Linked DNA regions of Drosophila melanogaster. The gene in region 1 interacts genetically with each later gene. Each region holds a gene or a part of one and is shown in the gene's direction. Other genes may lie near its edges.

Region 1 (5,916 bases):
GAGGAACTATCACACGAATGTCTCGCTGCCCGCCTCCGTCGTGGGTCCGTCCACCTCGGAGTCCGGGTCCGGCAGCATCGGTGGTAGCAGCAGCAGCAGCAGCAGCAGTAGCAGCAGCACCAGTACGAAACTACCCACCGCCGGCGACCGGCAGCCGTCCTACGAGGACCACACCTGGATATCCTGTGATATAAATCCGCTTTGCCATGTGACCGTGAAGGCCATTCTGTTGGACCACACCAACCACTACCTGTTCGCCCCGCTGGCCACCATGTTCGACAACGTGATCGGCTTCTCGCGCTCCACCTTCATCACGCCCAACATGATATCGTTTTTCCATGTGGGCGTGGCCTGTCTGGCGGGCAAACTGGTGGCCTCGGACAGCCTGGGCTATCGGCGGCTGGGCGTGCTGCTCTTCCAGATCCGCACCTTCCTGGACGACCTGGACGGGCATGTGGCGCGCGTGCGCAAGCACATACGCGGCGAGCGCTCGGAGATCGGCACCTCCGGCTACTATGTGGACGGCCTGTGCGACGGACTCGGCTGCATTGCGCTGCTGCTGGGCATATTCTTTTACCTGAAGAACAATCCACCGCGGAGGGGCTACTCGATCATACCCATGAGCGACTCCAAGCTGCCGGAGCCCACCATGATGATACCGAAGATGAAGGCCACCACGCGCAAGGTGGCCAAGAACGTGATCAGCTTCACGGGCCAGCTGCTGCTGAGCTCGACGGCGTGGAATCGCTACATTGCCGTCTACCAGAACATGCTGGAGCGCGAGGACGTGAGCGGCAACCAGTCGCATTGCCAGGATTACGTGTTCAAGTCGACCTGGTTCTTCTGCGTCGCCTGGATGTGGCGCATCGTCAACGTGCACGCCCTGCTGCACTGCGTCCTGCTGAGCATCTTCTGCGACAAGCTGTGGGACTTCCTGCGCGCGATCCGGTACAGCGGTTACATTATCCTGTTAGTTGCTATATGTTTAACTGAAATGCACATTCTGGAGGCCCAGAACTACATTTTCAACTCTACGGCGTGCAGTAATATTTCACTGTGATTTTACTAATATTACGAGAAAATACAATAATATTTGTGTAGTGCAAATCAGCGATGCCTTTTTTAATTGTGTATAAATAATAATGTATCATAATTGTTAGCCAATCATTAATATTTCGAAACCAACTAATGCATTTTGTCATTCAAGCGCGGTCTGCAAGAGCAATCGAAACTCCTTCAGCTGTAAATAATAAATGTTATTGATTAATAAAGTCTAGCTGTTTTTATCGTACGCATTTCCATGGCGAGCTAATTTCGTTTGAATTTATTTATAATGTTTTGTGTTTCGAAATTTCAAATGAACACGATGCGCAATGCTGCCAAGTTTTTTTTTGGTATAGCTGATGGGCAGCACTGCAAGGTTTGGTATTTTATTCGACAGTACCAAATGCCAATATAATTGCCATATTGTAATGTAATATATTGCTTAGATATTCATAGTGGCAATCAACGCTCATATAGTTTAATAAAGAGGCTATTAAAATTTATGTGACAATGCACTGTTTTAACTAAAAATAATACACTTTTAGTATATCTACCCGCCGGCTGGTATTTCTCACTAGCCCTGTTCGGCCACACTGCGCATACGTCAGGCGATACATACAAAGGAAAAGAAAATCAAAACGGAAAGCGAGAAGAAATGCTTCACTCGTCGTTTGAAAATTTGTTAAGCTGTCAATTGTAAATATTACCTGATTCCTATTTCGCACCGATTGAAAGTGGTTGTGCATCGAAGCGTGTGTTGTGTCAAGAACCGAGCGTGGAACGTACAGTGAATACCTGATTTTGCCTGGGTGTGAATCGAATTCGTGTGAGAGAGCGTGCGATCTGAGATCTGGGATCAGAAATCTATATCTACTTGCCATACGCAGTCAGAAATTACAGCAACCAACTAATCCCTGTCAATAGTGTAAGAATTGTTGTGTAACCAACCATCTTTTAGGACCGCCAAACTGCCTCCGTCTACACATTATGTCCTCCCCTCGACGATTGCGTTTGTGTGCGTGTGTGTGTGTGCCACACACTTGCACTCACACACAGACGACAGGATTGGATATTTTCAATTTATGTGGCTTTCATTCATTGATTTTCCAATTCCTGCCGCGATTCCACACTCACAAACGTCAGTTTACTCGTATTAAGTGGGTGAAATATCTGTTTTCTTGAGTAGTTCAAAACATATACATATGTATGCCATACATCGTAAACTTGGGATTGGGTATTCTTCTTTTGTTTATTAACTAAATGTACGTAGAATAGGCATTTAGCCGATGGTGGGACATAAGTAGCGTCTGATTCAGAGAATTTTTAACTAATAATAACGTAAAGAAACGCCTAAACATGAACACTAATAATATATGAATATGTTTGTAATACTTACTAAAATTATATCATCGAAATTACAAGAGATAGAAACATTGTTTATTTGTCGTTTTTAGTAGATTGACCTAGTGTAGGATCCTTTTTGTTTTGGCTTGGTCCCACGAGCAATGTGTGTATAGAGTGGTTCGGGGCAACCTTTTTGTGTTGAATATTGTACCTTGGGATGCATCTGAATAGAACGGATGAACTGAGTGAGTGCATTCATGAATGCAGCGATGCAGAATATGTGGGATGCTTCCGTTGACTGAATGACATGGTGGATCATTTCTAGAGCGAAGTGTGAGCCCCTGCGGCGATAGAGTTCTTTAATCCCCTCCTCGTTTCTAGCAGCCTTCTAGGAAATGGATTTCGTTCAAGTGTCGGAGGAGGAGGGCGACGAGCCCATCGAGCTGCCGGCTGAGGAGGATGGCACTCTGCTTCTGTCCACACTGCAAGCTCAGTTCCCTGGATCCTGCGGTCTGAAGTACCGCAACCTGGACACGAAGGCTGTGCGCGGAGTTCGCTCCAACGAGGGCAGACTGTTTCCGCCCAGCGTGGAGTCCGGCTGGGGCGAGTACGCTTACTTTTGCGTCTTTCCCAAGGGTAAATTCGAGTTGTATGACTCCCTGTTGAACCTTAAATAATTCTGTAATCCCCCCCTGCAGAGAACAAGCGCAAGAGCGACGATAACTTGGAGAACTCAACTGCCAAGACCAAACGCATCGAGACCCGTCTGCGCTGCACTGATCTCATCGTGCTCGGCTTGCCGTGGAAGACCACAGAGGAGAGCTTGCGTGAGTACTTCGAGACCTACGGCGAGGTGCTGATGGCCCAGATCAAGAAGGACACCAAGTCGGGCCAGTCCAAGGGCTTCGGTTTCGTGCGCTTCGGCTCTTACGATGCCCAGATGCGCGTGCTCACCAATCGCCATCTGATCGACGGTCGCTGGTGCGAGGTTAAGGTGCCCAACTCGAAGGTAAGTCCTCTTGTTAGCCCTGCAATTTCACGCCTACTAATCCTTCTATTCTCATAGGGCATGGGCCACCAGGTGCCTTGCAAGGTGTTCGTGGGCCGCTGCACCGAGGACATTAACTCGGACGACTTGCGCGAGTATTTCTCCAAGTTTGGCGAAGTCACTGATGTGTTCATTCCCCGGCCCTTCAGGGCCTTTAGCTTTGTAACCTTCCTTGATCCCGACGTGGCACAGTCCCTGTGCGGAGAGGATCACATTATCAAGGGTGAGTCACTGCCGCGTGGAGAAGAATCAGGGAATTAATGAGACACTTTCCACAGGCGTTTCGGTCCATGTGTCGAATGCTGCTCCAAAGGCCGAGCAGAACAGAAACCAACAGGTCCAGAGCTACAACTACAACTCTGCCAACAGCTTTGGCATGCACTCATACCACCCACAGGGTAACCACATGAATCCGGGCCGCAACGGACACCACCGAGGTAATAACCAACACAATGCTCACGGCGGTGAGAACGCAATTGTGCCCAATAATCACAACATTGGCACCGCCGGCTACGGCATGGGTGGCAACAATTACGGCGGCAACTCGGGCGGGGGCTACCACAACAATGGCGGCAATCACTCCAGTGGCGGGAACACGAACCGCCAGGACGGCGGCAGCCAGTACAACAGTCGCCAGTCGAATTTTCACGGAATGAACCAGCCGCATAACGGCAACGTGGGCGGCAGCAACGGCTGGATGAACCGTGGCCACCTGGACATGCCCAACCTGCAGGCCCTGGGCATCAACTCGCAGGGATCGAGCTCCTCCAACCAGGGCCAAAACATGAGCAACCAGTCAATGCTCAATCTCAACTCATTGCCCATCAATCCCGCACTGGTCGCTGCCGCCTTGAACCAGTGGAGCCTGGTCGGCAACCAGCTGCAGAACCAAAACCAGGACCAACAGGCAAGCCTTCACACCTCAATCATTGTTTCAAACAAAAAACTCTCTCACTTGCTCCGCAGGGCGGCAATTTTCTATCTTGGATGGCTCAGAACGGGGGCCACAACAATGCCAACAACTTTGGTGGACGGAAGGGGCCGAATAACCCGAACAACAATCCGGCCGCCAACGGAATAAAGACCGACAACTCGGAGCCACAGGTTAGAGTCAAAACTGAAACCATCCCCTAAGAAACCTGGATCCCAGCCAGAATCTATTCTACTCTATTCCAGAATGGGAACACCGGTTGGTCGAACCAGAGCAGCGGATCTCAAAACGCCGCGGAGAAGTCAAACTTTCTTTAAGGCGGTGCCTGTCACCCAATGATGTGGTTAATGTGGTTAACCAACACCTCTGTAGCTTACTTAAATTTACATATATGTATTCCACATACAAACCAGTTAAGAATTGTATTTAATATGTAATAGATATTTTGATAATTGTAAACAAGATGACACTGGATGGCTAATAACACAATTGATAAAACACACTTCAAAATAAATTCTGCGCCAAAGCTCAGTAAAAATTGTATCATTGTATCACTTAAGTAGAATTTGATTTGTATTTTGTTGTTTATTAAATATATTTTGGCTTACGCTAAGAAAGTTTAGTTATAAAGATTGTGCACTTATAATGCTGGATCTGCGGAGAATTTCCAATATAACAAAGTTTTCTTTAAGATATCTAAACGAATTTGGCGCAGCCTCATTTTAGAGGAGAATTCATTTAACATGTACATTCATTTCAAAAAATAAAGAATGCAAAAGCATATTAGTACAAAGTGAATCATTTCATTTGAATGGAATCTATGGGATTGTGAATTGAATATTTTAATATATTCCTGTAAAGGAAACTCTCCCGTCTTGGAAACTTATCTCTTATTCTTTGAAAATAACAAAGTATGTTTTATAATTCAGTTTGTAATGACACCTGGATCTTTTTTTTTTACAAATTTCCACTACACATTTGTTTGAGTATATGCAAGGAATACCCTTAATGAGCAAGCTTTGCGCCAGCGAAAATACAGCCCTGTGTTCCATTCCGCCATTTTTCTATTTTCACGACGGTGGCAATAACGGAACTTGCAATTGCCGCGCGCATTGCGGCGCACTTCACTTAATTTAGTGTCAATCTGTTTGAAGCTAGCAGAAATGAACCACATCATCCAGGACAAGTACATTCCGCAACAGCTGCTCTACTTCTTGGCGGGACGGCGCTGCTGCCAGCAGTTCCCGTGCACATTCCGCACCAGCGAGCACGAAGCATTCGCCAACAACGCCCGCTCCTTGGGGCTGCGATCGCAGGTGGTCCATGTCAACGGGAATAGCTGCGTGAAGGTGTACAAGCAGGCATGTCGCCACTACCTGGAGGAGCCCAAGACGCTGGTTTTGTCCTCGGGCGCTACGCTGAACATGTTTACGCTGCTGAGCAGGAAGTCCTTGATGGGCAAGGAGGATTTGGAGCTTTACGCGGACCTCGTCTCCATGAAGGCCAATGCCTCGGACCTACCGTCACTGCATCTGCCGCTGCCCGCCAT
Region 2 (3,721 bases), on another chromosome or scaffold:
AAAACGAAATCCACGCCGTGATATCACGTTGTGCTGAAAACAAAAAATGTATAATTTCTTTGCTTGACGTAAGCGCAAAGATCTGATGTTCGGAAATTACGAAAAACGAAATGTTTTTTTTTCTTCGAAATTCTGCAGCATGCGTATACACAGATTTTTGGGAATTTTGCTGCTTGTGTCGTTGGGCTATTTTAAAGTTTAAATGCTTATCGGAAAAGCTGCTCCATTTCGTTGGCTGTGCGCTTGTTAAATTTAGTTCCCAGACGCAAAAACTGTACGTACACAACAAGATGCCGGAGTTTTTCTTCTACCCTTAGTACTTTGCTCATCACAGTGCGACTTGGCTATAAACGATTGTATTCTAATTTGAATTTTCAAAAGAGCAGGCGATTTCATTTCACAATATTTCTTTAGCTTTGCAAAGCGTAAGCAAGTGTCATGATAACGAAAAGTGGATTTTCCCAGAAATATTTATAAATAATTTTGATAAGTTTACACAGAAAGTAAACTAAGTTTTTAGCGGAAGTGCAATATAAACAACATTTTGATTCTCGAAAAGAGGTTATCTTTAAAATCAAAAACAGAAATCGTTGTGAGTCCACTTATAAGTAAAAACTTTTGGAAACTGGAATATGTTGGGCCATAGAGCGCTTATTAAATGAATTTACAAAAATTTGCAAGGATGCAACTGACGCCTTAAGTTAGGCTTCATTATTTGAAGCCAGCTTGTGAGTCACTGGAATTTCATATTCTCTCGATTTTAATACGTTTTACATGACAAAGACAAAAGATGGGTAAATTTCACAATAGAGGGGGGTGGGGCTCTTTGTTGTGGGGAAGTTAGGGCGAGAGCGAAAGAAAGGCGAAGAAAGTGGGGAGCATGATGGCGAGGGGAGTGTCTGGAAGCTGCCAGAAGAGACAAGAGAGCGGGAGAGTGCGCATCCTCTCGCTCTTTTCACCTTCTGTTCGGTGTTTCTGTTGTTGTTCTTGTTTTTGGTGTGGCTGCAGCTGCGAAGCAACAATAACAACCACAACAGAGACTCGAAAACAGCTGCACACGAAAACGGTGGCTGTCAAACTGTTTTGCAAAATTTAAAATGTAACTGTACTTGGCAAAAACAATACATTTTGCTGTATTTCTGTATGTCGTAAAAGATCTTTCGACCTGGAAGCTGGAGAACACTTTTTCCAGCCACTTGGCCACCACCCCGCCTTTGAACAAACCAACCAATCGATTGGCCAGCTTATTGATTTTTCTATTCGAACATTTTGCATTTGTTGCTCGTTTCGGTCTTTTGCTTAGTGTGTTTGGTTCGAAAAAAGTATTGGCAATCATGTGGGCATCGACATACACACTTTTTTTTTATCACACCCACGCGAAAAACACGCGGCGCCAGCCAGACTAAAAGGATACAGGCAGCATATCCTGCACACACACACACACACGCGCGCACAAAAAAGCTCGCCAGGATCGAGTGGTGCAGTTGACCAGCAAACCGCAGCTGCTGACAGCCAATTTTGAGTAGCGGAAACAGTTGGAGCTGCTGCCCCGAAATGGGTACTCACTTGATCAGCAGCACTTTTTCGAATCAATATACCCGTCTATTCAATTTTTTTTTAAGCGGGACGAAGTCGCGCGCAACCACCGGCTTGCTGGGTTTGTTAGAGATGTGCCGATAACTCGCCACTGCGATAGCTCGAGTTGCTACTTTTTGTTGTACGCCACGCGCTTGGGATTTTAGCGAAATATGCGTGCCACAACTTAGCTTGTGCCGCAACCCCACACAGTGCTGCCACCTGTGGGCGAAAAAGTTACGTCTACATGGTGTTCTGGTCACACTGCCCCCGCCGTGACAAACAAAATAGAAAAAAAAATAAAACAAAAGATAAAATTTTAGCCTCCCCCCTTTGAGAAATAAAGGGTCATTTGAGGCAGTTTAAATCGAAAAGAATCCATAGGCACGGAGAGCCCAGCACACATAGAATGTTCCACTTCAGCGGCTTCAACATGATGTTCCCGGAGGGACGCAATTTTCATGCCAACTACAAGTGCTTCTCCGTATCCATGTTGCCAGGAAACGAGCGAACCGACGTGGAAAAGGGCGGAAAGAGTGAGTTACGAGTGTAGGCTGGACAGAAATTATGTGAACAACACATTCCATCCACAGTTATTATGCCTCCCTCGGCGCTGGACACGCTCACCCGCCTGAATGTCGAGTATCCAATGCTGTTCAAGCTGACCAACGTCAAGAAATCGCGATCCTCGCATGCCGGCGTACTCGAGTTTGTGGCCGACGAGGGCAAATGCTATCTACCCCACTGGATGATGGAAAACCTGCTGTTGGGTGAGGGCGACATACTCAACATCGAGAGTGTCTCGCTGCCGGTGGCCACCTTCTCAAAGTTTCAACCGCACAGCACCGACTTCCTGGACATCACCAATCCCAAGGCGGTGCTGGAGAATGCATTGCGCAACTTTGCCTGCCTCACCAGGGGCGATGTCATAGCCATTAAGTACAACAAGAAGGTCTACGAACTGTGTGTCCTGGAGACAAAGCCCGGCAATGCAGTCAGCATCATTGAGTGCGACATGAATGTGGAATTTGAGGCGCCAGTCGGCTACAAGGATCACTCCGAAACGCAGGCATCGGGCTCTGGGCAGCAGGGTGCTGCTGGAACTGTTGGCGGCGAAATCGCTGGAGCCACCAACGCCATACTCGAAGAGGTCGTGGAGACCTTCAAGGGTTCCGGCGTACGTCTCGATGGTAAGAAGAAGAAGGAAAGCCAGTTGGAAACGCCGGTCGTTAAGAAGGTGCTAGCCCGCGGCGTTCCAGACTATGATTTCCAGTTTGGACTCATCCGTTTCGATCGCAACATTCGGCCTATCAGTGATAGAAGCCAAGAAGATGATGCCGTAGCTGGCAATGCGGACGCTTCCGATGCGGAGAGCTTCCACGGCACCGGTTTCTCGATGAAGAAAACGCGCAAATAGCTCTGTATCTCTAGTTCTAGTTATATATTGTGTGACACATAGAAATTAAAGGAAAAACCTCACAGGGGCAGCGTCAACTTGATGGCCTCCTCCTTGGGCGGAGCCGGTGGCGATATGGTGGTCATGGGCGGCAATCGGCGTATCTTGCGTCCGTGTTTGCCTTCCTTGCGCTTCCACAGACCGGAACGTGGTCGATTGCCCATCTCCCGCATCCGCTGGGCACTGCCCACATGCTCCTTGTTGTGTTCCGGGTTGGACAGGCGACCAACCGTCGCCATGCAGGTGCGCTGGAAGGCGAACTCCCGCTTCGAGGGCAGCTGCACCACCACCTTTTCGTCGAACTTGCGCAGAATGGTGCCGAAGGTGCCGGCGGCATGGATCAGGTGGCACATCTGGCCGGGGTTCTTCTCCAGACAGTGAATGCGTGTGCCCACGGGCAAGGCGCCCAATGGATAGGCATCGCCTTCGTTGGGACGCACTATGGGATCATACAAAAAAAAAAAATTATATTGGCATAACTGGTTGTTTCAGAGCCAGTAAAATTTCTAGATTCCATGCTCAGTTTAAGACTATACTCAGAGGATTACTTAGAAAACGTTTAATACTCCCGATGAGTAACAGTAAGTAAATTTACCCGGAATCCTAGGAATAAAGCGCGAGGTCTTGAGGATATCGCCAGCCTTCATGTTCTCGGTGGCCAGGATGTACTTCAGCTCATCGCCGACGGCA

The links.
Region 2: of TBPH (region 1) and Ufd1, changing one enhances a phenotype caused by changing the other (phenotypic enhancement), as found in Drosophila melanogaster (one study listed by BioGRID).

Annotation. Positions count from the first base shown.
Region 1 is NT_033778.4:23,858,314-23,864,229, reverse strand, and holds TBPH (TAR DNA-binding protein-43 homolog), read left to right. Parts: upstream 1-1,636; 5' UTR 1,637-2,783; coding exon 2,784-3,024; intron 3,025-3,086; coding exon 3,087-3,397; intron 3,398-3,454; coding exon 3,455-3,659; intron 3,660-3,714; coding exon 3,715-4,343; intron 4,344-4,402; coding exon 4,403-4,540; intron 4,541-4,612; coding exon 4,613-4,684; 3' UTR 4,685-5,163; downstream 5,164-5,916. Other genes in the region: Cpes (ceramide phosphoethanolamine synthase), read left to right, coding at 1-1,060; bgcn (benign gonial cell neoplasm), read left to right, coding at 5,531-5,916.
Region 2 is NT_037436.4:11,121,312-11,125,032, reverse strand, and holds Ufd1 (ubiquitin fusion-degradation 1-like), read left to right. Parts: upstream 1-1,816; 5' UTR 1,817-1,984; coding exon 1,985-2,111; intron 2,112-2,168; coding exon 2,169-2,992; 3' UTR 2,993-3,051; downstream 3,052-3,721. Other genes in the region: mRpL2 (mitochondrial ribosomal protein L2), read right to left, coding at 3,052-3,470, 3,627-3,721.